Linked DNA regions of Ovis aries. The protein of the gene in region 1 interacts with the protein of each later gene in a biochemical or structural test. Links are inferred from orthologs where the notes say so. Each region holds a gene or a part of one and is shown in the gene's direction. Other genes may lie near its edges.

Region 1 (11,224 bases):
ACTTGAACACACAGCAGCAAACGCCCTCCTCTTTGGACAGCTCCCCAGGACACACCTGTTTACCCATCCAGACTCCCACTGACACTCTTGAGTTACTTTTTATTGAAAACTGAGAACCTCCTATACCAGTCATTTCACACAGGGAGGAACACACTGGTGGAGAAGTACCTAGAAGTGGAATTGTTGGATTAGCCTATGGGAAATTTATCGTTTGACGTACTTGGTGACACCAGCTTGTCTGTGCTCACCAGCAATGCACACAGACACTTGGGTTCTGGAGTAAGGATGTGGAGCAGCAGACAAGTATGGCCCTAATGTGCAGTTTTCTTATGGGGGGACTAAGCATGCTTTAGGGAATTTAAGCATCAGTGATATTCCCCTTCCTTTTCCAGTCTTCTGCCCACATCCTTTCCTGTCGCCTGATTGCTGCTGCTACTTTGGTTAATTACACCCTTGACTCTGGAGGGTTTCTCAGTTTGTCATTCATCATGTGACTCTTGAGGGTTTTTGCTGAACACAAGTGATTTCCTTTGATGCAGTATAATTTATCTACGTTTTCCATGGCAGCTTATAGATTTTCTGTCATCCCTGAAGCCCCTGCTCCTCTCTCTGTGTCCCTGACGTAATTCCCTCCTCCTCCGTGCCAGGCTTGCATCTCCTCCCTCCTCCAGCATCTAAGGATGGAGTGCTCACAGCCTGGCTGGAACCTGCTCCTTTGAGCCAGATGCCTAGCCCTGTCCAATCGCAGGCAGGCCCAGGGCCTCCTGTGCCCTGCAAATGCCACGGCACCACGTCCACACTTCCCTACAGACAGGGCCAGACTCCCCAGTGGCTGCACAAGGTCTCAGCAGCGCCTCGGGAGCCGCGCTGTCATCACAGGCAGGGCACAGCAGACAGAAGTCCTGGTGGCTGCATTTCCCACCTGTTCGCTCCACTTCCAGCCTCCCTCAAACCCACCCACTTCTCTGCATCTGTGGGAACCAACATCACCCACCTGCCCAGTGCAAGGGCCACTTTTGCACTACAGCCCTTCCAGAAAGGCGGTTTTGCAAACTTAGGCCACACGTGAAAAGCCGGTCGCCAGTTTTCAGTCTTCCACCTGTCTGTCCCATCCTTACCGCCTTCGGAAGCCTGCTCAGACAGAACCCCTGCCCCTGCCCAGGTGACTTCTGTCTGCCTCCTTGGGCAGTTTTAGGTCGCTCCATTTCACACCCTTTCCCCAGGGCTGGCGTGTCTCTGGGCACCAGCGGGTTCTCTGTCATGCATGAGTGGATCCCCCTGTGCCATGCAGGGTTTACACCCCAGATGGACAACGTCTCTGTGGACCCGGACATCGTGAGCCCCCACGTCCACCTGCCCTGGGACCTCGGTGTGGCCAGCCTCACAGGCCGACAAGGGTCAGCCTCCCACGAAGGTGGCTATTCACACGCGCTAGCGCTCTCCAGCAACCTGGGAGGTGAGCTGGACCCCACGGAGGATGCCCGCCAGGGCCTGGGCCACGGGCTGGCCGTGGCGAGCTGGCGTGTCCCCAGGGGTCGCAGCCGGGCTCGGGGGCGCCCCGGCACAGGGGCCGGAGCTGAGCGAGGGGGCCGCTGCGACATGTGCGGGAAGGTGTTCAGCCAGCGCAGCAACCTGCTGCGGCACCAGAAGATCCACACCGGGGAGCGGCCCTTCGTGTGCGGCGAGTGCGGCCGCAGCTTCAGCCGCAGCTCGCACCTGCTGCGCCACCAGCTCACGCACACAGAGGAGCGGCCCTTCGTGTGCGCCGACTGCGGCCAGGGCTTCGTCCGCAGCGGGCGCCTGGAGGAGCACCGGCGCGTGCACACAGGCGAGCAGCCCTTCCGCTGCGCCGAGTGCGGCCAGAGCTTCCGCCAGCGCTCCAACCTGCTGCAGCACCAGCGCATCCACGGCGACCCGCCGGGCCCCAGCGCCGCGCCCCCCGCCCCTCCCGGCGCGCCCGAGCCCCCCGGCCCCTTCCCGTGCAGCGAGTGCCGCCAGAGCTTCGCGCGGCGCGCCGTGCTGCTGGAGCACCAGGCGGTGCACACGGGCGACAAGTGCTTCGGCTGCACTGAGTGCGGCGAGCGCTTCAGCCGCCGCGCGGTGCTGCTGCAGCACCGGCGCGTGCATAGCGGCGAGCGGCCCTTCCGGTGCGCCGAGTGCGGCCAGAGCTTCCGCCAGCGCTCCAACCTCACGCAGCACCGGCGCATCCACACGGGCGAGCGGCCCTTCACCTGCGCCGAGTGCGGCAAGGCCTTCCGCCAGCGGCCCACGCTCACGCAGCACCTGCGCGTGCACACGGGCGAGAAGCCCTTTGCCTGCCCCGAGTGCGGCCAGCGCTTCAGCCAGCGCCTAAGGCTCACGCGCCACCAGCGGACGCACACGGGCGAGAAGCCCTACCGCTGCCGCGAGTGCGGCCTGGGCTTCACGCAGGTCTCCCGGCTCACCGAGCACCAGCGCATCCACACGGGCGAGCGGCCCTTCGCCTGCCCCGAGTGCGGCCAGCGCTTCCGGCAGCACGCCAACCTCACGCAGCACCGGCGCATCCACACAGGCGAGCGGCCGTACACCTGCCCCGAATGCGGCAAGGCCTTCCGCCAGCGGCCCACGCTCACACAGCACCTGCGCACCCACCGGCGCGAGAAGCCCTTCGCCTGCCAGGACTGCGGCCGCCGCTTCCACCAGAGCACCAAGCTCATTCAGCACCAGCGCGCGCACAGTGCAGAGTAGCCGGGGCAGGCGGCCCCGCCACCGTCCACCGTTGGGGGCGGGCTGTGCGGGGAACACCTACCTCATGGGGTTGCTGAGACCCGTGATCGCGTGGGTACAACCCAGCTCTCTTAGGGCCCGGCTCCCAGTAGGTGCTCAATAAACAACGCACAGAACCTCTGTCTGGGTCTGCACCCACTGTCTGCCCACCTGCCTGGACCCCTCTCAGCCCTCACTACAGGTCTACCACCTTCTCTGTAACCACGGGGCTCCTGCAAGACGCAGGGCTCCCGGCAGATGTGGCCTCTGGCAGGGCCTGCCCACGTCTGCAGGACGTCCCCTTACAGCAGGGCTTCTGTGCTATTTGCTTTCAACCCACCTCTCTGCCGGCCAAGTCAACGGCCAGCAGAGGACCAGGAGGGCACAGCCCTGCCAGCCAGCCAAGACCACTGGGTGCTGAAGCATCAGATGGGTGCCATTAGTCCACTGCCAGCCTGAGTTTATGTCTTTATGAAACCGAGGCGGCCATATCTTAGCTGTAAAAGCTGTAAGGTTTTAAGTGGGAATCTAGTCTTAGGAGACTTTCCTCTGTTCCCACAGACTCCATCCGGTCTGAGAACCAAAGCTGGCGGCAAGGCTAGGCCAGTTCCCCAGCCCTCCAGGTGCTGTCGTGGGCTGTTCTCTTCCCTCCCTGGCCCCAGGCACAACCCCTAAGTACCCCCCAACTGGAAGGTCTCTATCATGTGTGTTCAGTAACTAGTCACAGGACACACCAGCTGCTGACATACAGGTGGACAGACACTGGCAGCTCCAGGTCAGAGTTCCGCAGACTTGAGGGCGGGACCTCTGGACCCCTCCCGCCTTTTCCTGTGCCACTGCTGCTTTTGCCCTGTCCTCCCCTTCCATCCTACTGCTGGGGCCTTGACACGGCCCCCCTTTCCCCCAATGGATGGCGGAAGGACCAGAGACCATGGGTGAAAAGCAGTTCCAAAAAGGGGATATTCATGCAGCAGGGTCTGGCTTGGGACTTGAACCTCACCCTAGACTGGAGTCAGCCTGATCTTGGTCTAGAGATCTAGAGGGTTCTAGGAACAGCCCTTCCAGAAGCACAGCTGCTACCTCACCTGCCACTTTGAGTTGCCCCAGTCCCTACAAGACTTGGGCCCTGGTATCAGGAAAAGACAAGCAGCCTGGGCCAGGGGCTCCCTACCAGCACGCGAGAGAAGGCCCGCTCCAAGCCTCAGGCCCCCTCCTCCCCAACCCGACCCTTCCCCTTCCCCCTCCCCGCTGGTCTAGCGCCAGCCACAACCAGGGCCACTCTCGGCATCTACTGGACAGGGAGGCCTGGCGTGCTGCGACTCATGGGGTTGCACAGGGTCGGACACGACTGAGCGACTGGACCGGACTGGACTGGACTACATCCAGCAAGGTCTGCCACTCCCCAAGGCAGGGGCACTCCTGTGCCGCACGATCAGGACTGAGGCGGGGCAGGGTGGGGGTGGGGGTCCCCTGGGCCCTTTGACAGCACTCAGTTCTCTGGTCACAAACGGTTCTGAGAACCCTGGTGTGAGATATGTAGAATCAGAGGGAAGAGGAAGACAGAAAGCGGCTGAGGAATCAGCTCAGAGAAGGCACACGAATGAACACAGGTGGCCAGTAGCTAGTGGTCTCAGGTTGGAGGAATGTTGCCGGAACTTTATAAAATCCTGTAATGTGGGGGTTTTTTTATGACTTGCGTGACTTATAATCTGAAACAAAGAAAACTCATCTTTGGTCATCTTTGTGCTCATCATGAAATCTGTGCAGATACAACTACATAAAAACATGAAATTCCACACAGGAAAAATCACAACAAACATGAAAAGCATGGGGACATCTGGATGGGACCCCACACCCAAATCCTTGAGAAGTCCAGGGACCCACCTCCCAAAACAGCCCTCTGAGAAGAAGTCAACGTGAACAGCTATGTGAGGGCAGCTGACCAGGGACACCTTTGCAATCCAGTCACATTGGCTACAGGGCAAGACCCAAGTGTTACCATGCAATCAAGACAGAGGGCTTGGACAGAATGACCATTTGGCCAGAGCCATAGAAGAACCCAGGAGAGGACTACCTAAGCACTGGTCATCTAGGAAAGCTGCAACAGTGCCCAGTCAGCCTGTCCCCAGACTGTCTGTATCCGAGTTCATACTGTCCACTCCCAAGCCCAGCCGGCTGCCCCACGCCACATCCATCTAGTTATTCTCATCAGCACCCCAGCCTCCCAAATCTATCCACTTGTCTCCACCAATCAGCACTGCTCTGATTCCAGCCATCCACCTCCAGCCTGGAGGCCATTCCCTGGACAGACCCCTTCTTCCCAGTGCCAGGGCCCAGAGGCTAGGGTAACAATCGTAGGTGCACTTTCACCCTCGCAGCCCACACACCAGGTTCTGCCCACTCCTCTGCCCGGTCCCTCCACAGCACTGGCCCCAGCTTGCCTCAGGGCCTTTGCATGTATTAAGCCCTGTGCTGCTTACTAACAGGCGGCAGGACCAAGGGCCGCAAGCACCTGTACCACCCAAACCACCTGTGCCTCTCTGCCACGTGAGTGAGCACGAAGGTGACAAGCTTAGCTGCACCACCTCCAACCCAGCCGCCTGCCTCACTTAGGCCATCCCCTCCTCCTCGGTCCAGACACTATGGCCCCCTTTGCTTAGCATTTTGTTTCATGATGAAGTTTTACCCACTGCACGGTGGGGAAGCCACAAGATCAAAGATCACACAAGTCTAGCTGTGGACTGTTACCTCTCCAGGGAATCAATACTCTATCCCGAGATGGGACCTTAGCTGAAGGGTCTCATTAACTGGCCTGAGGATGGACACATGAACCAGGCTGGCCAATAAAAACCATCCCTGAGACTTTGGTTGGAAACTGCAGGATGGTCATCAACCCTCACGTGCCGTACAAAAATAATCACCAAGAGTAGAGCGGATGAGAAGAACAAAAAGGAAAACTGAGTTTGAAAGAGGCCTCCGCGTCCCAGGAACAGTCATGCCTGAAGCCTGAGAACACTAGGATGGTTGCGATCTCATCCGCCCCAAACCTGAGGTTTTCTGCAGCTTCCAATCGCTTAGCCTCACCCCAGCACCTCTCCAGCACACAGCTCTCAAGGAAATCAACGAAGCCGGCAGTCTGGGGCGAGGACGACCAGAGGGTTGAAGGGGGGCTTCTGGAATGGAGGAAAGAGAATGCAAGCGGGAGAAAAAGGGAACGGCTGCAACAGCCACGACTAGGATATGAGACCACGGAGCCCAAGGACGCCGAGGGTACCCGAGAGGAGGCTGGGGTCGGCAGGGACGCCAAATCACGGCCCGAAAAGGTGGAGGTTACTTTCTGGGGTGAGGATCGGGCCGGGGTAGCCAAGAGGAGGCCATGGCCCACCACTAGCGCGGGCCCAACTGGGCCGCCGGACTACTCCCACTGTGCTCCAGAAGACGGCGGCACGCCGCCTCAGCGACGGGGTGGGTCGTGCGGCAGGAGCCTCATTCGGTCGCGGGAAGGCTCAGGGGCAGAGCCCCGGCCGCCCCCCGGGCCCGGCCCCCCGCCCCGACCAGCCCTCGTGGCGCCGCTCACCGCCTGACGGAGTCCTCGGTGACAGCCTGAAGTCGCAGAACCGCTCCGCGCCGCCTGCTCGCGCCTTCCAACGCACGCTGAGCTGTGATTGGAGGGGAGGCTGGCTCCGCCCACCTCGCGGACGGAGATGGCGGAAGGCCGGGGGTCGCCTGCGGGCAAACTCTAGACCCGTGCGGAGGGCTGCCCCCAAGCGTGTGAGCCCGTGTAAACCTCCACAGTGTTATACTATCCTCTGACACGTTTTATTTGCTAGTTTACCTCAACCAAACTCTGCAGGCGGGTTCTCTGAGCCTGAGATGGGACCCCGAAGGTTCTGAGTCATGCACTCTAGGCCACGCTCCTGGCCTTGCTCAGGCTCTGACTCTAACCCTGCCTCCGTCTGTGGCCCCTGGGGTCAAGCCCCTTGTTTGGCCCGTCTATGCCGCCGTCCGCACAACTGCGAGTGGGCATGGCGGCCCGCAAGTGAGGCGGCCTGCATCTGCCCCACTTAAATATGGCGGCGACACCGCCATCCCCCTCCTCCCTGGACTCGCGGGCGTCCCCGGAAGTGACCGGCCCGGCCCGCACGAACGGAAATACCCGAACCAAGCCGAAGGAGCCCGATCCCCAAGTCCCAGCGCGGAGCAACGTGGGGCGGTGGCAGCGGCTGCGCAAGCGCACAGCGCAGGCCGGGCGGGAAGAGCCGAAGCGGGCAGGCGACGGAAATAGCCGAAGCGGTGGGGCGCCCGAGGCCGTTGCGGACCTCCGCGCCGAAGCCGCTGCTGCCACGGAAGCCGGCCCTCCTGTCTAGTGCACGGCCATCGCAGCCCCCGCCTCCCCCTTCCGCCTCGAGCCGCAGAGCCCTCGCGAAGAGAGCGAGTGACCAGGCCCAGGGACACGGCTTGAGGACCCCGCGTCCGCAGCCGAGCCTGAGGACGCCGGAGCGGACGGCCGGGAGGAGGGAGCGGCGGGTGGGGGCGGGGCCGAGTAAGCCCGAGAACAGCCGAGCGGGCCCGAACGCCGCCGAGCGGGCCCGAGGCGCCGGGCCAGGCCAGAGCCGACTACGGGAGCCGACGCGGGCCGCGCGGTGGGCGCGGAGCAGCGCGGCAGGCCCGGCGGGCGGCGGCAGCAGCCGGAGAGGCCGCGGCGGCGGGTCCGAGTGGCGGAGGCGGCGCGGGCGGCGGCGGGGGGCCGGGTGGCCGGGGTCCCGGGCCCCGCAGCGGCGGCAGCGGCGGCGGCGGCAGGATGATCAAGCTGTTCTCGCTGAAGCAGCAGAAGAAGGAGGAGGAGTCGGCGGGCGGCACCAAGGGCAGCAGCAAGAAGGCGTCGGCGGCGCAGCTGCGGATCCAGAAGGGTAAGGGGAGTCGGGGGATGGGAGTGGAGGTCGGAGGTCAGAGCCTGGCTCCGGGTGATACGGGAGTCAGGTGTGGAGTAATGCGGCTGCCAGGGGTCAAAGGTGTCAGAAACGGGGAGGCCGCGGATGTGGGGATCGGAGACCAGGGCCTGGGGGCCGAGGGGCCGGGGATGGGGTAATATAATCACCAAAGTGGTCGGAGGTAGGGGGGCCGAGCAGGGGGCACTGAGCGTGTTCGGAAAGCTAGGAGTCTGATACTAGGGACCGAGAATCTGAGGGTGGCAGCGGAAGAGGGAGACCGGGAACTCGAGAGTCGGGGGGTCAGATGGGAACCTGGGCGACAGGAAGAGGAGATAGGGACAGTGGGGCCGAGGATTGAGGATCGGGGTGGGAGATTTAGTGTATTAACGCTAGAGTCACTGGGAATCAGAGTCAGACCTGGTGAAGTGGGTTCTGGGGCCTGGGTGTCGTGGGTCTGGGTGAGTCACATGTCAGTTTGGGGTGACAGGAGGAGGGAGGGATGCTGGGTACCAGGGATTATAGAGATAGGAGTAGGGTTGGGTTTAGACCATCCTGCTAGAGATGCTGGAACTCTTATGCTCAGAATAGTATAGGGTAGGAGGCTTGGGAACTCACAGATCTGGAGGTCAGATGGGATCCTGAGTTTAGGACGACAAGCAGAGAGGAGTGTATGGACAGTGGGGGCCAGGGACTGGGGGGGGTGGTGATTTAGGGTGAGGAAGGGAAATAAGATCCTTGCATCTGCGCAGACAAGTAGAGACTCCTCTAGAAAGCGGAGGTCGCGGTCAGGATGCTGGATTTGGGGTGGGACACACAGGAGTGGGAACATGTAGGAGCTGGGCTGGGGGACTTACGACTGGATTCAGAAGAGTTAGAGCTTGCCCCCCAGGAGTTCCAGCATATCTGCAGTGTTCCATAGATACGGAAGAGCCTGCCTGGAGACGCGGAGCAGAAGGAGCAGGGAGAGGGAGGAGGGGGTGGCCCACTGCCCAGGACAGAACTGGGGTCCTGGGTAGAGGTTATGGAGGCTCTGCTGGCACCTGCTCTGAGCACCCCCTATCTCCCCCTTTCCTGGCCTGTTTCCCTTCTCTGCTGTGAAAACCCAGACATAAACGAGCTGAATCTGCCCAAGACGTGTGACATCAGTTTCTCAGATCCAGACGACCTCCTCAACTTCAAGCTGGTTATCTGTCCTGATGAGGTGAGGGCACGCTTAACTGGATTCTCAGGCACGGCAGGTGACACCACCTCAAGTTGGCTGGTTCACCTGCCGGGCCTTGCAGAGTGGGGTTCTGACTCCTCTCCTCTTCCTTCACAGGGCTTCTACAAGAGCGGGAAGTTTGTGTTCAGTTTTAAGGTGAGTCTCAGGTGTGCAGGGGTGGCTCCCTGGGCTGAGGAAGCAACAGCTGAGGCCCCAGCCAGGCACTGCTGTGCACCTATCCACTTGCCCTCTCTTCTCCTGGAGCCAGGTGGGCCAGGGTTACCCGCATGACCCCCCCAAGGTGAAGTGTGAGACGATGGTTTATCACCCCAACATTGACCTCGAGGGCAACGTCTGCCTCAACATCCTCAGGTGAGGGCACTGGCCCTCCACTACGCTGCCCAGCCCTGCCTGCCAGGCCCCCTTCATGACCTTGCACTATACCAGTCTCTTTCCCTTCCCTTCCCCTTGTGGTCTGTGTGTCCCTCTGTCTCTTCAGCTCTGCGTTTTCTTCCTCATGGCTTGACCTTGGCTTTCTGGCCTGTGCTTCTCTGCACCCTCCCGCTAGCATTTCCCGATCGTGCTGTCCCATGCCCTGGGCCTGACCTGTCTGGTCCCAGCAGGGCCTGTGGTGGCTGCCCGCTCACCAGCCCCTATCATGATGCTCTCTGCCCACAGAGAGGACTGGAAGCCAGTCCTTACGATAAACTCCATAATTTATGGCTTGCAGTATCTCTTCTTGGTGAGTAGGGGTGGGGGTGGGAGGGCAGCTGGGGGAGGTTGGCCCTCTGACTTCTGGGCTTGTTGACCTCCTGCCCCTCCCATACCGGCCACAGGAGCCCAACCCTGAAGACCCACTGAACAAGGAAGCCGCCGAGGTCCTGCAGAACAACCGGAGGCTGTTTGAGCAGAATGTGCAGCGCTCCATGCGGGGTGGTTATATCGGCTCCACCTACTTCGAGCGCTGCCTGAAATAGGGCTGGCGCATACCCACCCCTGCCAGGGCCACCAGCCCCGGCGTCCCCTGCAGATATTTATTGGGGGCCACAGGTGGGGGGACAATGGGGCGGCCGGTGGGGGAATCCCATGCCCTGGCCGGCCACCCCTCCCTGCTACCCGCTCCTAGTTTTTTTTTTTTTTAACCACCATGTGATTAAGGTCGGCGCTGCCTCCCCCGACCCGCTCAGCGATGGGAAATGAATTGGCTTGTCTAGCCCCCCGCTGGGTGCTGTCCAGCCCCACCCCCTACTCTGGGCTCTGGGGTGGGTGGCCATGGGGACTGGGTGGCTGGGGACCCGGCACCCCACCCCTCCACCACTGGAGGTCCCACCAGGCTATTAAAGGGGAATGTTACTGCATGGCCTCCGCCTCTTCCTTTTGTGGGGTGGGAGGGGCAGGTGATGGCCGCCAGAGCTCCTGCAGCAAGAGTGGTGGGAGTTGTGTGCTCACAGGTGGTATGAGGGGACTCCCCCTCAGGCAGGATGAGATGAATCCCATTCTGGGACAAGGGAGGGGCAGGATCCAGTGACCACTGGCTTCCCGGCCAGTGAGCCGGCACAGGGGCTAAGTCCGCACCGTCTGCTGTTCTGCCCTCCTACCGGAGGAGGAAAACTGCCTGGTGCCACTGGGTACCTGAGATTTGGAAACATCAGCGCGAGTTCTGGGTCCCTCAGATGAGCAGAGCTCTACAGTGAGTGACGTGGTGGGGTGAAGGACCGCCGGGTGGCTGGAAGGAAGGCGCCCGAAAGGGCATCAAGCCCACGGGGCCAAGATGGGACAGGGGCTCAGCTCCCTTAGGCTGGACTTGAACCTACGGAACACCAAGCTTGCGGCAGCGAGACGGAAAATGCTGCGCATGCGCTTGTGGCCGGCACGGTCCTCGGCGCGTGCGCACGCGCGCTGTTGGCCCCGCCCAGCATTCCGGGCGCCAGAGGGGCGTGTGACGTCAGGTGGTTTAATCCGGAAACGGCGGTGACGGCCGAGGCGACAGAACAGAGGGGCTGTCGTTGGTGGGCGCTCCAGGGCTCTGGATGAGAGGAGCGTGACCCGGAAACGGAAGCGAGTCCCCATCCCAACTCCGGTGAGTCGCCCCTACTGGGGCGCGGGCCCTGGGTGGGCGCGTGGGCGGCGGTGTTCGAGGGCCTCGCCCCTCCCTGGGGCCCTCCCTTATCTCCTGGGTCCTCATGCTGTTTTGCTTTCGGTGCTCAAGACCCCGAAAGCCCCCAAGAGTTTCCTGGGTGAACAAGGCACGCCATCACCTAAAATCCCGCCCTCTGTACAGGAGTCCCCAACATCCCCCAGCCTTATTCTCCGCATCCAATTCCCTCAGCATTTAAGACCCCCGCCC
Region 2 (10,505 bases), on another chromosome or scaffold:
ATGAGTATGCAGGTAATGAAATTAATATAAGAAGATATCAGTCACATGCTTTAAAACTTTTTTTTTTTTGGTTCATTCATTTGACAAATATTTATTGCAGGCCTGCTGTGTGTTAGTGCTGTGTGATGAGATCAGGGTCAAGACTGAGGATTATGGTTAGGCTAAGAATTTTGTGCCCTTTCAGGCTGATATCTTTTTAAATATGTAATTCAGTATATGTTTAGTGGGTAGGGTGAAACTCATTTACTGTTAGTAAAATTTGTAAATAGATTCATCATTGGTTTATGTCCATTGGCTACAGTAGAGTTAGTATTCTGGAAAACAGTGTGTAATAGAACATTTTATACTTTATATGGTTCTTGTTTTTCTTTTCAGTTTTCTTTGAAGTTTTTCTGAACCATAAGCTTGTATTTTCTGAAACTTTTTTTTGTGAAACTTTTGGGAAGACATAGTAAAAGATTTAAAACTCATATATCATTCCATGACAGTTTTCCTGTTTAATGCTGCCGTCTATGGGGTCACACAGAGTCGGACACGACTGAAGCGACTTAGCAGCAGCAGCAGCACAGTCATTTATTTAGCCATTCACTTCCACTGGAGATGCAATAATAAATAAGGAAGTAAACAGACTGATGTTAGTATAGTATTCTATATGCTATTAATATATTAGGAAGATGCACTGTGAGAGTTCATAGGAGGAGTATATAACCCCACCTTGAAAGTGTCATTGAAAATTTCTTGAAGAAGCTAGTTTAACCTGCACTAAATCCTATAGGTGGTGAATGAACAACTCTAGGTCTAGGATGAGACTAGTTCAGAGGTAAAAGTCAAAAGCCTGGGATGAGGCCAGAGTTGAGTATATGAAAAAGAAACTTGTTTCTCATTTATTATTAACTTCTTCATAGCAGTTAAAGGGGAGATTAATTCATATTAACTTTTATACATTTTTTTCCCCATAGAATCATTAGAATGATTTAGTTCTTTTTGGAATTATTGATTTTAAATCTGCCCTCCACCCCCAACTGTTTCCTTCTTTTACCTGCCTCCCTGTTTGGGTTTTTTGGAGATTTTTTCCCCCCTTTTACCTATCATCCTCAGAGTGTTTGTTTAGAATAAAACACTGTATATGCAGTCATTGTCTTATATTTAGTGATAATAAGGCTTAGATCTCAAGGGAATTTTGAACTTAAGATTTAGTTTTTTAGGTTATGTATGGAAAAAGACTATTTTGAGAGACAGTAGCTTCACTGTTGGTATCCTCTGAGCAATCTCAACAATATAATTTAAAAATTGTTTAGTAACAGAACAGATTCTTTATAGACCAGAAAAGCTGCTATTACTGGCATCCCAAGACAACCACTAACCCAAATTAAATAGAGGGAATTCATTTTCTTTTTGACCTCCATTTGAAATGTTGACCCAGTATTCAAAATGCCAGTTTTACTGGTATGCATGGGAAGATATAGAATCAAAGGCTGGTCATCTTATTTCACCTATAAAGGGTACTAGATACATAAAATTAATTAGTCTTTTTTTTTTTTTCTTTCTTTCATGCTTGATTGTTTTACTTCTCATAGGGACTTTCCTGGGTAGGGTAGGATTAGATTTAGTTAACCATTTATTTTCTATGCCAACATTTTTTGATAGCCAGCAAACTAATTGCTATCTTTATTCTTTATTATCTAATTTTTTTCCTGTGACCATTCTGCTAAGTAGTTGGTGGTATTCTTGTTTTATAGATGAGAAACAGGCTTAGATCAAGTAATTTGCCCAAGATCATACAATGACAAGAGGCTGGATTCAAACCCCGGTCATTCTGACCATGTAGCCTATGCTTAGCTGCTACTATCTTGTTTTAAAATTTGTACACGGCAGCCAGTTTTCTTTTTCCAAAAAAAATATTAGTAAGTATACTTGAGGTTAACTAATATTCTGTCATTCATCTAATGATGCATATTTATGGAGCACTTGTATCCATGTGTCAGGCACTGTGCTGAGTGCTGGGAATATAGTGGTGAACAAGTCAGACAAGATCCCTACCCTTGGGGGACTTGCCCTCTAATGGGGAAGACACAGTAAGTAAGCAAGATAATTACACATGGTGGAAGATTATAAAAGTAATGTTGTGTGATGCAGGGATGGAAAGTAGAAAGTTGGGATAGACTTTCAAATAAACTGACTAGGGAAGGCCTCTCTGGAGATTACTTCAATCAGAGACCTAAACGATGAGGAGGTGCTAGTTGTCTGTCAGTTAGAGTAACTGAGATGTCCTTGTTTAAAATGGAGGCAATAATTGTGCCTTCCAAGATAAAACATGTAAAGAAAACACTTAGTGCTGTACCTGGTATGTAGTTAGAACCCAATAAATGTTAGCTATTATTAAAAGAGTGATAGTATTGCAGCATCAGATTTACTGGTTGTATATTTTTACAATACTGTTCCAAAAAATTAACAATGTAGCTCCTATGTAGCTTATGTTTAAGGTGCTGTGTCATGCTTTGAGCAGATTTTTTTTTCCCCTGAGCATTTGCTCTGGCTGGCATTGTTTTAGACCCTGCAGATATAGCTGGGAACTATATGGTTATTAAACCATCAGAAAATTGATTTTCTTTTAAATTTTAAAAGCGTTTCCTGGAGGAGGAAGTGGCAACCCACTCCAGTATTATTGGCTGGAAAATCCCATGAACAGAGAAGCCTGGCAGGCTGCAGTCCATGGGGTTACAAAAGAGTCTGACACAGTTGAGCGAAACAACTGCAACAAAATGTTTTACCACAAATCTTGTTAATAAGATATTGTAGGTCATAAGTGGTGTGTGAAAAGCCTGATAGTTTTTCCCTTTCATAAGACCTCTCATTTTGAGTGATACTTGCATTGGCAAGGATTCGGGAATATATTAGGCCTGTTGTTGAAGAAAGGTGTTGGAAGTGAAAAGGCATTTTAAAGTCTTAAAAAGAATTTAAAAAAGGGGGATATAATTGCTTAGTCCTAGTAAACTGACTTAGCAGCAGCAGCAGTAAAGTTACCAGCTGGTAGAGTGAACTAAATCATTTTCATAGCTTCTTAAGTTGAGTAGAAACCCATATTGTGCCTGAAATAGTTAAATTCTACTCCAGAGGTTTTACCCTGGAAGTAGTTTTATTGGAAGAGTTTGTTTGAAGAAGTATAATTGATGTTATGTGATCTGGGGAAAAGAACATTATAGTATAGACTTGTTTTAGATTTAGATTGTTGTTATTTGTTTTGTGAAAGTCACTTGACATTTACAAAAAGGTCTTATATGTATCTTATATATCTTTATATAATACAGTTTAATTTGATTTTTATCAAATTTTAATCAATAGTCTCCCATTTTCCAGGGAGGCTATTTTTTATGACAGTAACTGATATTTCTTGATATGACTCTTCAGCTTTCTCTTACAATTACTAGTGATGGCAGTGTGGAGGACAAGTTTGCTTTCTTGCTGCATTAGAAAAGTTTAAAATATATTTCAATCATGACTTAACAAAACTTTGTTTTCTTCCATTCAGTTCTTTATCTGGTTTTTATTTTCATCCAAACCACATATAAGGATGCACATTCGGTTATTTTTTAACACCTTAATTATGTATGTGTGCTTTTAAAATAATGTAATTAACACATTTTCATAAAAAAAGTGTCCAAATGTATATTAGGAAGTGAAAGTTTCCTATAATTATCACTCCTTAACCTTTTAACATTTCACTGTATAAAAAAGTACAATACTTATTTAGACCAAAGAATTTTTAAAACATTTAGTTTCAGATCATGTGTTAATATCATCTTAGCAGTCTGGACCTCATCTGAGACAATAAAAGCTTAACTGGTCCCATACTGGGTAGTTACATTTTTCTACTAAGAAAAGCCATAGGACATTGGCCGCATGTTGTGCTTATGAACTAAAGAGGGTGATATAAAATGCCACCTGAGCAGCCTTGGTCTAGTCCATGACATATAAGCTGGAGTATTTTTAGTCCTTAAGAAAGGAAACAAGTTTCTCTTAGCTACTTTAATGTTTGAAGACTGTGTTTTCTTTCAAAAACCAGGTGTGGTAAACATATTTGTATCATATCTAGTTTAAAATTTTATTTTAGCCTTTTAAATTGATGTATATTATTATATTAATTTCAGGTATACAACATAATGATATATGATTTTATCACAAAATTATTACCACCTGTCACTACGCATGGCTACAAATTTTGTTTCCTTGTGATAAGAACTTTTAAGAATTTACTGTCTTAGCTACTTTGAAATACTCGAAATAGTATTATTAACACTATAGTCATCCTGCTCCATGTTACATCCTCAGGACTTACTACGTTTGGAAGTTTGTGCCTTTTGACCACCTTCACTCATCTTGCCCACCCTTGCCTCTGGCAACCACCAATCACTTCTCTGTATTTGAGTTTGATTATTTTTGGTAGATTCCTTATGCAAGTGAGCTCATGTTGTATTTCCCTTTCTCTGACTTGTTTCACTTAGCAGAATGCCCTTGAGGTTCATCTATGTTGTCACAAATTTGTTTTACTCTTACTAAGCAAAAGATAACATACAAAATAGGAAAATTGATGTACTGACTTATGTTTAGTGTTACTAAGGGAAAAAATAGGAAAAATGTCCTTAATTTTTGAACTAATGATAGACATAGCTAATTGAGAGATTAAGGATTTATTTCTACATTAAGATTACATAGTATTCATGCTTTACTTGGAAAATTTCTCATTCTGGAATCTCAATGTAGCCATTTTCTTATATCATTATTGTTATATCTTAAAAAATATTAAATTTTTATGGATATATTTCAGAAGGTTAATGAATGACCATCTGGTTTAGTAAGAAACAGATATTCTCCTTTGTTCTCCTCTGTTTACTGTCTTGAATTGTGGGTTGGTACTGGCACATTCTAGTAGAATAAGGAGCTCAAACCTTCTTGTGCTTTTTTATATTGATGCATTGTCAGAAAATTTCTTCAGAGGAAGCTCTCAGTAAATGTATTTTTAATTGTACAACCTAGTGATTGTCATTAATGTTTGTTTTTATGTCCTTTATTATATTTTATAATGTGTTCAAAGAGGATTTCAAAGTTAAAAAAATTTAATCTGTACAAATATTCATACTTTATCAAAGGCATGTAAAAATTCAAAGTCAGTTATTCACAAAAAAATGTTATGTATTCATAAATTCCTTTAACACAGTGGCTTCTGTTTTATGTTGATATAAAGTTATAACAATAAAATATATAAATTATTTTTGTCTTTGAAGGTCCTGATGAAGTTGTAGGGCCAGAAGGAATGGAAAAATTTTGTGAAGACATTGGTGTTGAACCTGAAAATGTATGTTTTATTTTTAAGTAGAATGGAATGCAAGTGGGGTATAGAATATTCATAAATTTCTAAAAATTGGAACAGTTTAATCTTATAAGAAAATTTTGTTTCTTCATGAATATTGCAGATTTTCATTTAGGTTTTTTTAAGTGAATTTAACGTGGGCATGTATTATCTTTCTTGATATAAATGTCTTTTGTAATAGAGTAAGAGATTCTACCTTCAGAAACTGTTAGAATATTTTGCTTTTAAGAAATTGACCCATCTAAATTTCTTTACAGTTAATAATTCCAGAGATTGTACTCTTTAATAGTTGAAGGATGGAAATAGTTGTATAAAAATGCTCTCCATGATAAATATAGACATGATAATCTCTGTGCTGACTTCTCCCCTATCCTTTATGTTCTGTTCTTTCCAGATTATTATGTTAGTTTTAGCGTGGAAATTGGAGGCTGAAAGCATGGGATTTTTTACCAAGGAAGAATGGTTAAAGGGGATGACTTCATTACAGTAAGAAATTTTTTTAAAAAACAAATTTGATGGCCTATTTGAAAATCTTAATTGATATTTTGTGCTTCGTAATTTCAGGAGTAAGTCTTCACCTTAAATTAGTTTTATCTATAATAATCAGTTTAGGATTGAAAAAAATTATATTATGGTCTTTGCCAAATGAGCAGTTACTCCATGTTTCATATTTTCTAAGAAAGAATCTTTAAGAACAGTTCTGTTAAAACCCACCTATTCTCCTGATGCATGAACTAGAGCTTTATGATAGAAGTTATTTATTCATGGAATGTTTGAGCAATGAGGGACTTCCTTCTCAGAATACAGAATTCTACTACTTGAGTAGTTTGTTCTTCAGCAGTTCTGAGCTCTGGGACCTCCTCTCTCTTCAGTTTTATACTTAACTTAAAAAAGAAATTTGAAGTGACTTACATGACAGTTTTAAAGAATAAAAGAAATATTGTTTGGCGTTAATAAATAAGTGTGCAACATTTAGCCATTTTATAGTTGTATACTTTCATATTGTATGCTGCTTTTGAATGCTTTTATAAGTTACAAAATTACTTCTTTTTCACAAAATTGCTTCTTTATAAAAATAATTTGATTTTGGCTTTCCAGAGTACAGTGTGCTTAGTTTCAATTGGTAATTGTGTGTTAATTTTATATTATGTCATATTCCTGATGTTCATCCAGGAAGTAATTAATAATCAACATTCTAAAATAGAGCAAGCATAAATTTATAATATTTTTGGAGCCCCAAACTGGAGGTTAATTAGTTTCCTGTTGTATGATTTTAATTAACACGCTTAACTGTTGTTTACTCCTTGTTTGCCTATCCTTAACTTTCAGGATACCTGATTTTTCAAGTGTATTTGTTCATATGAAACTTAAATATTTTTGAATTTTCAGTGTCTAATGTTTCTTAAACCAGGATTAACATTTAGATATTTTATGTGTGTATATACAAACACACAGATATAAAGAAAAGAGAACACAAAGTCAACTCTCTCACTTTTATTATTTCTTGATGAGATGAGGAGTCTGAAATTCAGAGAGGTGAAGAGCATTTTTGCCAAAGTTTACATAGTTCCTATGGAACTAAGGATAGCAGAGCTAGAATTTTAATTTCCTGATGACCAGTCTACCATACTGCAGTTCCTATTGTGGCATTCCTTTGTGTTTTCCTTTGTTAGCAGTCTTTATAAAATAGAAGGCCATTATTAACTTTTAAAATCATAGTGTTTCTAACCAGGACTGCAGATTCTGCCATTCATCTAGGTGTCATAACATGGCAGATTAAAATAATGTTGCTTCTGAAATTCTTTGAGCTGTTTGCCACCATTTAATTAACTTTTTAGAGAAAGATAAATATACAGGAGTATGCAAAGAATATAAAGAATTTTATACAGCTCAGTCTGTTTTATTAAAACCTGTATTGGTTGTCACATAGCTCGTTAATTGTGAGACCTTTTATTTGGCATTACAGTTGCTTTTTGTACTCTTCTGCTGCTGCTTTTGTCCTACTTTTTTCAATATCTCAGCTAACAAGTGTTTGCATATTTTTAAACCAAAAGTTTCTAATTGCTTTTGAATAACTTGATATTATATAAGGAGCCTCTGGATAACATATATAAACAAAAATGTTTCTAGTATTTGCATATGACTTTAGGTATATGCTAGGAAAATTGATGAACCCATGAACATGTTGATTATTAGCAAATCTTTCCAGCAGGAAGTTCACAGGCTTTAAATAATAAAAGCAATATTTAGCACTTAAAATTGACCCAGAGGTTTTTGTTTCACTCATGTTATCCCCTACCCATTTGCCTAGAGCTCTATAGTGTAGAGCCTTGAAGTTACTAAAATTAGGCAAGCATTCTTGACTGGGAAAATAGTTTTTTTCCTCTGATGATCTAGATTGCTATGTGATGTACAAAGTATCTTTTCTTAGTTGGGTAAGTCTTATTAGCCCCTGAATACTCTTACAAGGAACATGTATAAAATAGTTTTCAAAGTAAACCAAGAGAGACAGAGCTCTTAGTTTTTTTAAAAATGTATAGTTTTCTAGTATACTTGGTTTTTACAATTATGAAGTATAAAATTTTACAGACTTCATTCTTTTTATAGTTGTTTCTATTTTTAGGATTTAACCTGAACATGGTTATTTGATGACTCCTGAATCACTTTAATGTAATTATCAGCTGTTTCAAATTAATTAATTTTAACCCTTAGAAAACTTGAGTACAGCTCTGCTAAAGAATAGAAACAGTCTGATAGTTAAGACATACATTATGGTCATGAATAGTAGAATATCATAATCATGGTTAATTAAAATCTGTAATTGTGTAATACTTAATTGTTTTCATAATACTTTTTTTGAAAACATTTATTTATTTTAAAGCTGTTATTCACATAGACTTTCCATAACTGAATTGTTGTTTTCTCTTGTTTGAAAGAATTTATGGGTGTGAATTTGTACATAATTGGAGTAGAATGGTCATTTTGTAAGTTTTGGGGATGTGATTGCCATATCCTTTCCAGATATTTTGCTTTATTTTGTTTTCATTGTTGTTTATTAATAGTCAAATTTCCCTTCAAGTCAGATTTAATAGATATTTACCCTTATTTTATCTAAGATACTGTGCTGCTTACTGGTGATCACAGTGAGGCATGGGACACAGCTTTTACTTAGTTACATTCTAGCAGGGCGGGAGAGTGTTACAATACTGTAAATATAAGTAAATCCCCAGTGGCTCAGCGATAAAGAATGTGCCTGCAATCCAGGAGATGTGCGCTCCATCCCTGGGTCAGAAAAGCCCCCTGGAGAAGGAAGTGGCAACCCACTCCAATATTCTTGCCTGGGAAACCCCATGGTAGAGGAGCCTGGTGGGCTACAGTCCACGGGGTCTCTGAAGAGTTGGATACGACTGAGAAACAAACCATAGATCCATGTGGGATGGGACAGGTGCTGAGTAAAAGTAACAGATACTGTGAAAGCACAGCTGCTAAGGAGATTAATTACCACTGAGTAGACAGGCAAGTCTTCGCTGTGGGTGTAGCGTTTGAACTAGACCTTTGAACAATGATTAGGATTTTAATGGTTGAGGATATAGAAAAATGTTTCAAGAGAAAACTGTAAGCAGAGCCTCGAGAAGGAAAAACATATGTCTAGTTTGCTGGAATCAAAAGGTACATAAAAGAAACTGACAGCAGTTTTAAACTCCAGATAGTTGAGATATGACTGCATTATGCAGGACTTTGAGTAATATGTTGAGAGAGTTTAAACCATATGTTTTAGATTGGGAAGGCACCAGGTTATTGAGCACAGGAATTATCAAAGATTTGGGGGATGATTTCAATAGAGTTGATTTTTTAAAAAATGTTTTAAGATCATATACTCTTGAAAATCTTAAGGAAAACTGTGAACCTTATCCTCGTTATAATGCACATATGTTGCTACACACAAAATGTTGCATATGGATCTTCTTCCTTGGATCTATAGCGGCAAGATTCCAAGGATACTTGAAAATTTTATTCTGCCATACTTACTGGAGCAAAGGAATTTTCTCACATGTACCAGCTGAAAGTTTGTTGTTGGAGCAAAGATGAATTACCATGCTGTTAGAGAAAATTGTGGGCATAGATCTTTGAAAAGAGTATACTAGATTATGATCATGAAGAAAGAAAGAATAGGATCTGATGAGAACGATAGTACACTAAGCTGTCTTCCAGTAGACTACAAATTGTATACCCTCTGGTCTCCATGTTGAACTCTGTACTTTGAAGAGTAAAGGCTTGACAGACTTTACTTTCCTACAGGAGAGATGAATGGGGAACATTTATATAATTTGTTTTGGTGAGAGTAGAAGATTTGAGTAGATTGTATGCTATACTGTATGTGGCATATGATTTATCATTCACTTAGCATTTGGGGCCCAAGTACCAGTTGTCATTGGTGTGGTTCTTCCCCTTTGCTCTGCCGCAGAGTCACCATGACTGTTTCAGAATGCCCCCTCTCCACATTTCCAAATGCCTCCAGAGGTGGAATTTTTGTATTGAGGTCAATAGACCTGATTCAGAGAATGTTCTACATCCATAACTTTGTGAATAAAATTCTTCCTATTATAGCATCAGTGTGTCACAGCATTCTTATTAGGACTTGAAGATTAAGGAAGAAAACCTCACTTAGACCTAAATGAAAATTTTCTCTCATTTTAATGAAGCGGAAATTCAAGTCTCTCTTGTTAATAAAATGTTTAACAATATTTAGGAAATTAATCCCTAAGCCTTTATGTTGAAATTTAAACCCATTTCTATTCATTCTAACAGCAGTGACTTTGAAGATGGTTATTGTATTGTGCCAGTGTTCCCCGAAAACTATAGTTTTATTTGATATTCAAAAATAGACTATTCTTATTTTCCATGCTGTACTACTTATAGTACGTGTTTCTTTTTAGTTCAGACGAAATATTCTTCCTACACTTGCTGAGTTAAGAGGTATCAAGATTATTAACTCCTGTGAGTCTATTTTGGAGCTAGATTAAATATCAGAATTGTCTGTTAATAACAGCTTGGGCGTGTTTACTGGTTTTGCTGGCTTCAGCCATGTCTTTATGATGTTCCTGATAAATGTGGAAATTTGTGTTTAACTCAGCCT
Region 3 (10,505 bases), on another chromosome or scaffold:
CTCTTTCCAGTGAGAGGGCACTCATGAGTTTTAAGACCTTTTCCTTGTTTCTAATGTGTAATTAAAAAAAAAAAAAACAACTCCCATTCAAAAAACTGATTTGCTGTGTTTTCAGCTTTGTAGACAACCACATTGATTCAAGTTCTTTAGCACTCTGTTTTTGCCTTATGTTTGTTGAATTGTGATAAGGAAGACTGCTTTGTCTCTTTATGTTTTGTAATCCCCATGGTTTCAAATAAAAATTCTGTGAATTGTATTACAGATCTTCAGTGACAGTCTTTTGATTTCACGTAAATTGTCACCAATTTCTTGGTTGTCACCATTTAATATGTTTGTGATCATGGGCACTTATATGTTGTTTCTTATATATTCTAGCCTCTCTCGAAATCTTATGGATGTCTTTTTTAACATTAAAGATATTTTTCTTTATAATTTTAGTAATTACGCATTCCCCTTTTTCAAATGCAAGTTTTTAAGCTATTAAAACTTTGGGAAAATTGGAAATTGGTCATCTGATAGAGATCTGTGACATAGCGTATCTGAATACCTAGATGTTTGGAGAATCATTTTTGTAATATTTATATTTACATATTTACAATTGATTAATTATTTTGTTTTAGTTTGTGTCACTTGTGCCATTTAAGAAAAAAAAAAAGCTCAACTTTCACATCTTACAGGAAGACCTCTATTTGAACAGTCTTACATAAACAAAAACACTATTTGTTTTCAAAGTTGAACGTCAAATCAGAACTTGATAAAACTTCATTATTCACTACATTAGTGGTTAGTAGTCTTTAGCTTGAGGAGTGCATTCTCGTTCCATATACGAAACATAGCTTTTTAGAATATTCTGAGTAGGATCCTTTGGTTTTACAGCTGCAAATAACATCTGTAACTGCTTTTAAAAATGTGTGTTTAAGGAAGACCACAAAGCAGACTCTAGTGGTGTATTGTAGGGGGTTAATAGATCTTTGGTGTGTGTGTGTGAAACCTGCTTGGTTCCTATTAGTATTTGATAGATACAATGAAAGTTGTTTGTTTTGTTGTCTTAGAAAAATGAAACTTCATGAAATCCATACCTGCACATTGTGGGTCAAGAGGTGGCAGGGAGAGCGGTTCTGCTGCTTTCCCCTTAGCCTTGATGGGCCTTTGTGGGTTCTGGTTGACACTGGACAGTCTGTCTCAAGGTACTTGCTGCTTAGATTCTGACCTTGAGATGCCGAAGTCTGCCTATTGCACCCTGATGCTCCACAAGCAGAATCACAGGGTCAGTGTTGACAGCATACTATTTGAATTTCCTTTGAAGGGCTTCTAGATGTTTTTAGCTGTATTCCTTGGATTTGTTAAGGTGACTTAAAAAAAAAAAAAAAAACAACACTCAGTGTTGATGGCTGCTTCATAGCATCCTGGGAGATTCAGTTCACTTAGTTGGGAACATCTTTGAGAATGCCATTAGGATCACTGTCAGAGAACCCCCGGGCGTGTCTCCATTTTGCTGTTTCGTGGATGTTTGCTCTGGGATCTCTCAGTTGTGCTGTCCCCAGGAATCTGCAGTGTTTGCAGTCATAGTCATTTGCACGTAGCCTCACCTCCCCCCACAGGCAACATTGGTGATCAGCGAGATGCCACTGTTCAGATTGCGAGTGCCTCCATAATATCTCTCTCTTGTTTGCTAGGCAGAAGATGGTGTTAGTGATTGCAAGCTGCTGGCTGGCACCCTGGCAGAGCAGGAGTGAGTGAGTGCTGTTCAGCTTTCCGGCCCTGTGAGTCTGATGCCTTCCCTCCATGTTTTGGCATCGCTGCCAAACACATGCATTGAAATCCTTCATGATCACCAGTTTGTCAGATGGTTGCACTGTTTCCAAGAGTCTGTCCAGGTCCTCTGTATCTTCTTTTCTGTCACCTTAGTGTATGTCCATTGTGATGGGGACGTGGATGGTATTGGAAGAAGGCACAGTGTGTATCAGGGCAAGACTGGCGACTTTAGGTCTAGTGAGTGACTGCAGGCTCCTCAGAGGGAGAGCATTTCCAGAGCGTCCATGCCCTCAGCCCAGCGTTGCCTGAGCTGTTGTTCAACTGGTGCCCGGTCCCGTGGTGCCGCGTGCGTTTCCAGCAGGTCCCTGGGTTTCTTCCATGGGACTGTGGAGGGTGCTTCATAGCGGGGAATGCTGCTGCTGCTGCACCCATGTGACAGGACAAGAGGAAGTCTGCTGTTTCCTTGCACAGTGCATTGCGGAAGCACGAGCCATGCAGTGCAACACCCCATGAGGCTCGGGGGCAGAAGCGGGGCCCCCACAGGGCGCCCTTCCCACTGTTGTCCTCTCCTCGGAGTGAGCCCTGCACCCCTGAGCAGGGCCATGCATGTGGCCAGGGGAGGGCAGGACAGGCTGCGGAGGGCAGGCCCCTCCTTGCCCTGAACTGTGGAGCCCGCCTCAGACTTCAGCTGTGTGGCCAGGACAGGGCCGGGTGACTGAGAGCCATCTGACCCGGCCTGTGGTTGCGTGGTCATCGTGCCGCACAACTGGGGCTAAAAGGCAGACCCGTCGCACATCTCCATTCTTGGCTATTGAGTGAGGCGCTTACGTTTGCTGTATTGTTTTAAGTCCTTTACTTTAAAATCAATGTCAGGGCCAGAAATTCTCCTTGTACTCAAGAGCACTTCACTGTTAGAATCCTTGAGGTAACAGTTTTATCAGGAGGTATGTGTGGCTGCATATGTGGCTGCCACGGGGTCATGCATCCTCCTTTAATCTGGTGAACATTGAGATTCCACTCCACATGAAACAGCCAGGCACTTTCTCCCTTTGTAGAAAGATACTTTTGCAAACTTTCTTTGAAACTAAGATACCATGACGAGGCTAGCTAGCATTTGATGTCTAAGGTTACCACTCAGGGTCCCAGGTCCTCTGTCCTTTTACATAGAAACTGCCCACTTTTTAGTTCCCAAATGGAATCTTGTAAGAAAGATCAGTGAGAAATTAGCATTCTTAATTGTAAATATCCGTAGAAGGAGCTTAATCTGCCCACATTCAGGTTTATGTAAATGTCTTTTCTGGATTCCTCATGCAATGTCGTCTTTCACTTGGCTGTTAGTTAGGGGTGTTCTGCTAGGAGATGTCGCATGCAGCAGATCTAAGGTAAGAAGCACTGTGGCTGGTAGACAGGTGGATATACTGCTTTCCCCCAGGGTGGGGGATGGAAGATTCTCCAGTGCCCCAGTGTTCATTATGAGCTCCACTGAACTCCATCATTTTTAGGTACAAAAAAAAACATTTACCAGTGAAATAAAATTGGTGGAAGAAAGATTTTTTTTCAAGGAAACCTGATTCCTAAGCATGAAATTTGAAACCTTTAAACTCTATTTAGTTAAGTTAAAGGTTTTGGGGATCAGTAATTATGATGTCGATAATAATCATAAATGTCAAACAGCTAGTGACTGAGTTATGGATTTTTATTTATCCCAAGAAATAATCACAGGTAACAATCATATCCCATGAAATAATCATAGATTAGGGTAATCATTTAATTGATATGAATCTTTCTCACAGTAAAACTCTATAGTACAAAACTGTTTAATCCTTCCATTATGTCTGACCACCTCTCCTCCCCCCTACCCTAGTCTTGATTCAGGGTTTTTATGGTGTATGATACAGGAGCTGTTTACTGATTCCTCACTGAAGTGAAATAGGAATTTGGATTGTTGAAACAGATTATTTGGGGGCACTTGGCTCATCCTTGTTTTTGTTTGTTAAACAGGAAAAGGACCAGCGAAGCCTAGACATAAACACTGCCAAGTGCATGTTGGGACTGTTACTAGGAAAAATCTGGCCCCTTTTTCCAGTTTTTCACCAGTTCTTAGAGGTACTAAATTGTTATTTTATGGAATGTATGTTTGCTTGCTTAGAACTACCAAGTGTGCTTTACTTGGTCCTTTTCTGTACTTTTCTGTTTGTCGTACTTCTCTGCCTGTAGGAACTGTGGCGACACACTTGCTGCCACTGAGCACATTCCCGAGTCCCGAGCGTCCCCACGTGTGCACTGCACACGCCCCTGGCCCCCCTGCAAATGCTCCAGACAGCGCAGCTCTGGCCTTTCCTCTCTCTTCCCCCTTTTGTTTGTGTTTAGATTTCCTGCTTTTTATAACGAGAGTGGGACAAGCTTTACCTTATTTTGTGGCTTTAGATGAAGCTCCACTTTGATGAAGTGAAGGTTAGAGAACAGCCATCCACTCTCTCACTAAGTTCAGTCTGTAACAAGTCCTTACCCACTCTCATCTCCAAGCAGCTTCAGTCTCAGTGGCCAGTTCCTTCATTTGGTATCTCCTGCAGTTTAAATTTTCTTCATGTTTGTGTTTGAAAGAACCCAGCACTTCCCTCCATTGTTATCGTTTGTTTGCTCTAAGTATTAATGAGAGAAATTCTGAGCTGCTGGTTATTAGGAACTGGCTCTGATGCCAATGTAATAATACTGTTAAGACCTGGAAGAACTTGAGCTGAAAGTCTGAGTTACTTGGGTTGTCATATATAGCCTCCTTCTTGCCCTCCAGTCCCCAAACCCCTTTAAAAATTGCTTTTTGCTTGAAAGGAAGAGGGTGTTGGATCTTGGAGAAATTCCTGGACTTTACCCTGACTCCAGCTTCACTCTTGAAATAATTTTCCTCACAACTTGTTGGTGTAATGGTCCAGAAAAACTTCTAACTGACAGGCTCCTTGGAGAACTGTTATTGAAATTTGCTTTTAACATTATTAACTGGGATTCCTGAAGAAAGGTATGAAAATAAGTTTTTAATATAAGAAGCACTTGTTTACATGACAGCCCATGTATACCAGTGATCTCTTCCAGCTTCTCTGACAATCCTCAAAAATGTTAGCTTTATTTGGAAAGTGAGTAGCAATGGGCTCCTGATCTCAGGAGGCTGGGAAGAATTTAAGGCTGGGTGTGAAGGTCCTTCTATAGCTAAAAGACTACAGCAGATTTGACTTCACACAGTTCCAGGAGCACCATCAACAGTGACTGGGTTTTGCTTTTAGTTGCTTAGAAAGTTACACTTATAGTCTGTGCTTTGTTCTCTCTCTCACACCAGTTTGCATTTTTCTTTTAAAAGGACCCAGTAATCCTTTCACTTGAGCTTTTCTTGTGTTTGCATCCTCCAAACCATTGGCTCAACTCTCTTTGCTTTTTATGTACTTGTTTTCCAGTGTTCCCGGTTTCAGTGGCAAAGATTTAAGAATTATCAGACTGGGTTTTATTTTTAGATTTTTATACAGGAATACTGTATTTTGAAATATGCATGTGTCCTTTTTCCTGTCTGGGAGGAAGAGAAAAACTATTTCATGGCTGTTCTTAGTCCTTTTATGATCAGACTCAAGTTTTTAATTATTAGAACAATAACTCTTCAGTGGCTGGACCACCTAGTCCTGAGACTGCTTGCAGCTCTTAGCAAGGTCTCGTTGAGTAAACCCACAGTGGCATGTGCCGTTAGCTGACAGCTTGACAGGAAGCATGATGTTCATGTCAGGGCCTGTTAATGGGAGCAACTCTTTATTTAGCACTTACTGTGTGCCACACACTCAATAAGGTGCTTTTCATAAATTATAGAAATTATCTGCCTTAAGCCTTACCACATCTCTGTGAAATGGATATTATCCCTCTTTTACATAAAAGGGCTTTTGCCATCTAGCAGTTGCACTTCTAGGGATGTAAAGATGTGTTTCTTTGATGCATTTGTTGTTTTATGTTGAGCCCCCATAATATTTTTGTAATTAAAATTGTCATCCAAAGTTCCCTTCTCGCCATCACTCACCCTTCTCCTAGCATGGTGCCTAACACCCCTCAAATGGACCTTTGTGAGCTGTTATCAAGTTGATTGTCACAGCAGTTGAAACTGTCTGATTTGTTGTGTTAGTAATTCATATTATTTTTCCTCCACCAGCAATCAAAATATAAAGTTATTAATAAAGACCAGTGGTGCAATGTGCTAGAGTTTAGCAGAACAATTAACCTTGACCTCAGCAACTATGATGAAGATGGAGCGTGTAAGTACTGGGCGGGTGTTGTTTTCCCCCTGTCTCCCGCGCATTTGCTCCTCAGCCTCTGAGAAGTCTCATAGCTGTGTTGTTCCCTCCCTCTCTTCTCTCTCTCTTCAGGGCCAGTTTTGTTGGACGAGTTTGTGGAGTGGTATAAAGACAAACAGATGTCCTAGGACTTTATGCATAGCAGCGAGAGAGTCACTGTTACCACAGTTATGTCAACCATTAGCCATAAATTGCTGTTTGTATCCAAGCGCATGCTGCTTTTCTTGCACTGTCTCCCTTTGGCAGGGACGTGTTGGTGTTTGCTATTGAATGGGCCAGCTCTGCTTGCTGTGTAGCATTGTTCTCTTGGAAGGCTGCTTTGCAGTTTGTATTTACACTACAGATTGGTGAATTTGCCAACGTCCTCACTGTGATTATGTGTATATTGCTGTTTAAATTTTGTATATGTGTATAAAAAGACAAAGCTTCACCTAGAGATTATTTCTGCAAAAATGTATTGTAAAATAATTTTTGTGGCATATTTCTAGTCCCTTTTTTCAAATGACCCAATTACACTTTTCTTTGGTCTCAAAATGTAGCATTTCAGAACACAAGACAGAACAGCTATTACCATATGCAAATGTTGCCAGAATTAACCTTATTATTTAAGAGGCCAACTTTGGAAGGAGGTGGGAGTCGTAACTTTTCAGAGGCGCTATGCCAAATCTAATTTGGTTTACTTAAATATTAGCATTTTGAAATGATGAAAGTTAGAATAATTGAACATATAGACCCATACCATGCCACAAATCATTTCCACCATGCAGTATATAGGTTTTGATTTTCTAATGTTAAAGCTGTCATAGTTTGAATATAGGTACAGATGAACAAATTACAATTGCACCTTTTTTCCCATTGGTTTTAAACCCTTGTACACTTTTTTAGTGCTTTCCCCCACCCCTTTTGCATTCTTCTAGTCAGTGTTTGGTCTGCTGATGCTTTCTATGCCATTCTAAGTAAAATTTATTTTGCCGCCTCCATGAAAACCTAATGGTTTGCTGGCAATTTATAACTGCAGAGCACTTTTAGTTGTGGCTTGAATTTTTAGTTAAGCTTTCATGGTGTCTGATTTTCTAGTTTTGCGGGGGCGGGTGGGGGGAAGAACTATACTATAAGTGAGAGGTGTTTTGTTTTGTTTTCCTTTTTTTGTTTCTTTCATGCTAGGCTTTTCCTGGCAGAATGTCCATTGCAGGCAGTGGACACGACACCACCAGCATTGAGCTAAAAACTCTATTACACGGTAGGACCTTTCCTGGAGGGGCCGCTCGTCATTACCTGAGTAATATGTACAGAGAGGTGATAGCCATTATTTATGTGGGTAAGGAAACAGAAGTAAACGGGACGGTATTTTTAGGTTTGTATTTTATGTTTTTGTTTTTTTCTTTTCTTGTCTTAGCCCTTCTCAAGGAAATGTATAAAAAACATGCTTCTCCCTCAACTCTCTGGTGCTATTGAATGACTTAATTTAGTCCCTAAAGTTTTGTGAGAACACAGTAGTCTAATGACTTAGACCGTCATTAGACAGTCTAATGACTTAGAACCAAGTAAAAGCTACTGGTGCATTTGAGCAAGTAAATGCATAGTTGTGAGCAGAATCCATGACTGAACATGTGACAGTTGGAAGAGGTTCAGATTATTTCAAAACCTGGCCCCAAAACCTTTTGGGTCAAATGTGAACCTTTAAATGGCATTATATGAGTAAAGCACACAGACAATGCTACTGTTTGACCACGACTTCATAGTTTCTTTGCAAACAGTGTTCAGATTTTCATATTTTGTTTTTCCCTAACTGAACCGCCAAAGACAGGAATTTTGTATGTATATACAGTGTGTGTGCATATACAAAATCATGATCTGGTAGAATGAAATTCACTTCCTTTTTCTACCAAATAGAAAGGTTTGGTTTGCTGTGAAATAAACCAGAAGTTTGAAAAACTCTGTAGTGATTAAGCATACTTAATCATTCCTTGTTTAGAAGCTGTAGACTCCCCTTCTACTTTACACATTCACACCAGTTTGCACAAATTCATCCCTGAAAAGAACAGAAGACGTTGACAGCAAGCACAGCTCCTGAGACCAGCGTGTTGAAAGGGCTTCCATTCCGACGGGTGCCTGTTAACTCCGTTGGCAATTGGCTATAGGCAGGTTCCAGCCTGTAAAGAACTTGATTCATTTTCAAAAGGATCCCATGAAGTTAACAAATCACACTTTAAAGGCAGCAGTTCTTAAATTCGATCAACTCTAGTTTTGTTTAAAGCAAATAGAAATCATCAATGAAATTATTTTCAAAGGTACTGTAAGAAACTGGAAAATTTTTTAACAGTAAGCACAGTTAATCCCAAAATAAGAGGGTGGCTACAGGGAAAATGTTACATTTTAACACACATTGAACATTTTGATGACAGGGGTTTTGGAAAAGCTAAGCAAAAATTATTTCATGATGTGTAACATGGAAGTAAGTATTCCAAAGGATGATCTTGCCTATTTAGAAAAGGCCAAATAATCTCTGAATTCCCTTGAAAAATAAATGTGACTGCAGCGTGCTTGCCCTTGGTTTCTGTGATTTTATGCAGTTATTTTTAAGGGGAGGAAGAGCCAGAAGTAATAAGATATTTTTTCATAAAAATCTCCCTAAGTTACATAAGTTGAGCAGTCACCAAGCACTTATTTATGGGCAAATGCTAAGTAAATGAGGGTGCCTTTTTCTGGTTTTTCTTTATCACCTACATCTCCACCCTTTCTCTCTTTCTGTCGTGTTTTGGCCTCCACGTTGCAATACTCTGTGATAATGGAATCCAACTTTTAGATGTTTACTGTTGCGGTAGGTCAGAAATTGCATTATTTTATTTGCCATAATCACCCTCTATAACGTTACGTGCAGCTTATTTGAAGCATGACCTCTGAACTAAGTTTTTATAAAGCTGACTAGACAGACTTCTAGGATCTGGATTAACAACAGACTTCTGTTGCCTCTCAGTCTCCATCTTAACAGTGCTTTTGAAGTTTATACAGAAAGCTTTAAAAGTTAGTTTGTGCCCTTGGTTTTTACTCTTACAACTGCTAAAATACCTCTGTAAGCCTTATCTTTTATTCTTTCATATGTTGTATAATAAATGTATAGAATCCATTGACCAACTAAATTGTTGGGTGTCTGTAAATGAGACCAAAATGTGGGTTGCTTCTTTTCATGAAGTCATTTCTCTCGGGGGTTACTGTCAGTGAACTGCAGCTAACCTGTAACTGTGAATGCTTCGTGTCGTCAGTATTTGCATCACCTTCATAAACGTGTGCAAGTCTGTGACTCCCAGCTTAACTGAAATATTGTTATGCCACCTAACTTGAGTACAGCAAACTGGTTTTAGGTTTTAATGGAATTGATGTAAAACGATACCCCATAAATAAAAAAGTTATTTGTGTTTGATTTCAGAACTGATCTGTTTATTTTTCTCTTTTCGTGGCTTTCTCTTTAAAAACCCCTTAAGGTAGTTTTAAACTTCCCTGGGTGGCTCAGACAGTAAAGAATCCGCCTGCAGTGCAGGAGACCTGGGTTCTCTCCCTGGCTTGGGGAGATCCCCTGGAGAAGGGCATGGCAAACCCACTTCAGTATTATTGCCTGGAGAATCCCCAGAGGAGCCTGGCGGGCTGCAGCCCATGCGGTCGCAAAGGGTCAGACATGGCCGAGCAACTAAGCACAGCACACAAGGTAGTTTTAAAGTATTTCATGTATCATCAAGTCAGCCCCAAGGCTACAAAAGTGAGGTGGGAAACATCTCCTTCTGAACTTTCTTCATTTGTTTGAACCTATAGAAAGGTAGGACCTAGTTCCCATGGTGCTGTGACGTGGTTATATCATACTGAAATGACTCATTTGAATGTTCTTCCCAAATTCTGGTGGGAAGAATAACTTTTAGGCAGAAGCTTAGAGGGAAGCTTTTGTGATTTCTTTAGAAAAGAATTGCCCTTGGAACTTTGTTATAGCTAGAAAGGAAAGAAAAAAGAAACCTATCACGTGAGCAAACAATACATCAGGCTTTCTGGCCCTGTGTACCTAAGCTACGCTTGTGGTGCAGGAGGTATTCCAAAATAAGGCATGTTCACCGCTTCAGGCACATTCAACAGACAATACTTTGGGTTCCCCGCCCCCAACCCCCCACCCCCAGTCGGTTCCTAACATTTATTTTCAATTGCCTTAACAAAAAATAAAATCATCCCATGTATAGAAGTGTACTTGCTGAGAAATTATGGTAAGTAGCCTGTGCTGAGAATAATAATTGGAAACTGAAAAACAAAAATTGACTGTAGTAATTAAATGGACATTTTTTAAAAATATCATTTAAAATGTAAATCTCTTTTCCCAAAGAAATGTATTCAGTCCTCTGAAGGAAATTCTTTTGCAGTTGCTCCCTGGAGAGTGGATTATGAAGAACTCTG

The links.
Region 2: the proteins of UBE2M (region 1) and DCUN1D5 form a complex in vitro, tested with the Homo sapiens proteins (3 studies listed by BioGRID). The link is inferred for Ovis aries from reciprocal best matches to the Homo sapiens genes UBE2M and DCUN1D5.
Region 3: the proteins of UBE2M (region 1) and DCUN1D4 form a complex in vitro, tested with the Homo sapiens proteins (3 studies listed by BioGRID). The link is inferred for Ovis aries from reciprocal best matches to the Homo sapiens genes UBE2M and DCUN1D4.

What each region holds. Positions count from the first base shown.
Region 1 is NC_056067.1:66,427,461-66,438,684, reverse strand, and holds UBE2M (NEDD8-conjugating enzyme Ubc12), read left to right. Parts: upstream 1-7,015; 5' UTR 7,016-7,546; coding exon 7,547-7,655; intron 7,656-8,782; coding exon 8,783-8,877; intron 8,878-8,994; coding exon 8,995-9,033; intron 9,034-9,145; coding exon 9,146-9,249; intron 9,250-9,500; coding exon of another isoform or gene 9,501-9,555; coding exon 9,556-9,619; intron 9,620-9,713; coding exon 9,714-9,854; 3' UTR 9,855-10,235; downstream 10,236-11,224. Other genes in the region: MZF1 (myeloid zinc finger 1), read left to right, coding at 1,292-2,727.
Region 2 is NC_056068.1:5,191,916-5,202,420, forward strand, and holds part of DCUN1D5 (DCN1-like protein 5), read left to right. Parts: coding exon 1-12; intron 13-5,282; coding exon 5,283-5,353; intron 5,354-5,762; coding exon 5,763-5,854; intron 5,855-10,505. UniProt on the Homo sapiens protein: Contributes to the neddylation of all cullins by transferring NEDD8 from N-terminally acetylated NEDD8-conjugating E2s enzyme to different cullin C-terminal domain-RBX complexes which is necessary for the activation of cullin-RING E3 ubiquitin ligases (CRLs).
Region 3 is NC_056059.1:68,452,147-68,462,651, forward strand, and holds the end of DCUN1D4 (DCN1-like protein 4), read left to right. Parts: intron 1-3,756; coding exon 3,757-3,861; intron 3,862-5,932; coding exon 5,933-6,097; 3' UTR 6,098-6,146; coding exon of another isoform or gene 6,147-6,202; 3' UTR 6,203-7,238; coding exon of another isoform or gene 7,239-7,294; 3' UTR 7,295-9,500; downstream 9,501-10,505. UniProt on the Homo sapiens protein: Contributes to the neddylation of all cullins by transferring NEDD8 from N-terminally acetylated NEDD8-conjugating E2s enzyme to different cullin C-terminal domain-RBX complexes which are necessary for the activation of cullin-RING E3 ubiquitin ligases (CRLs).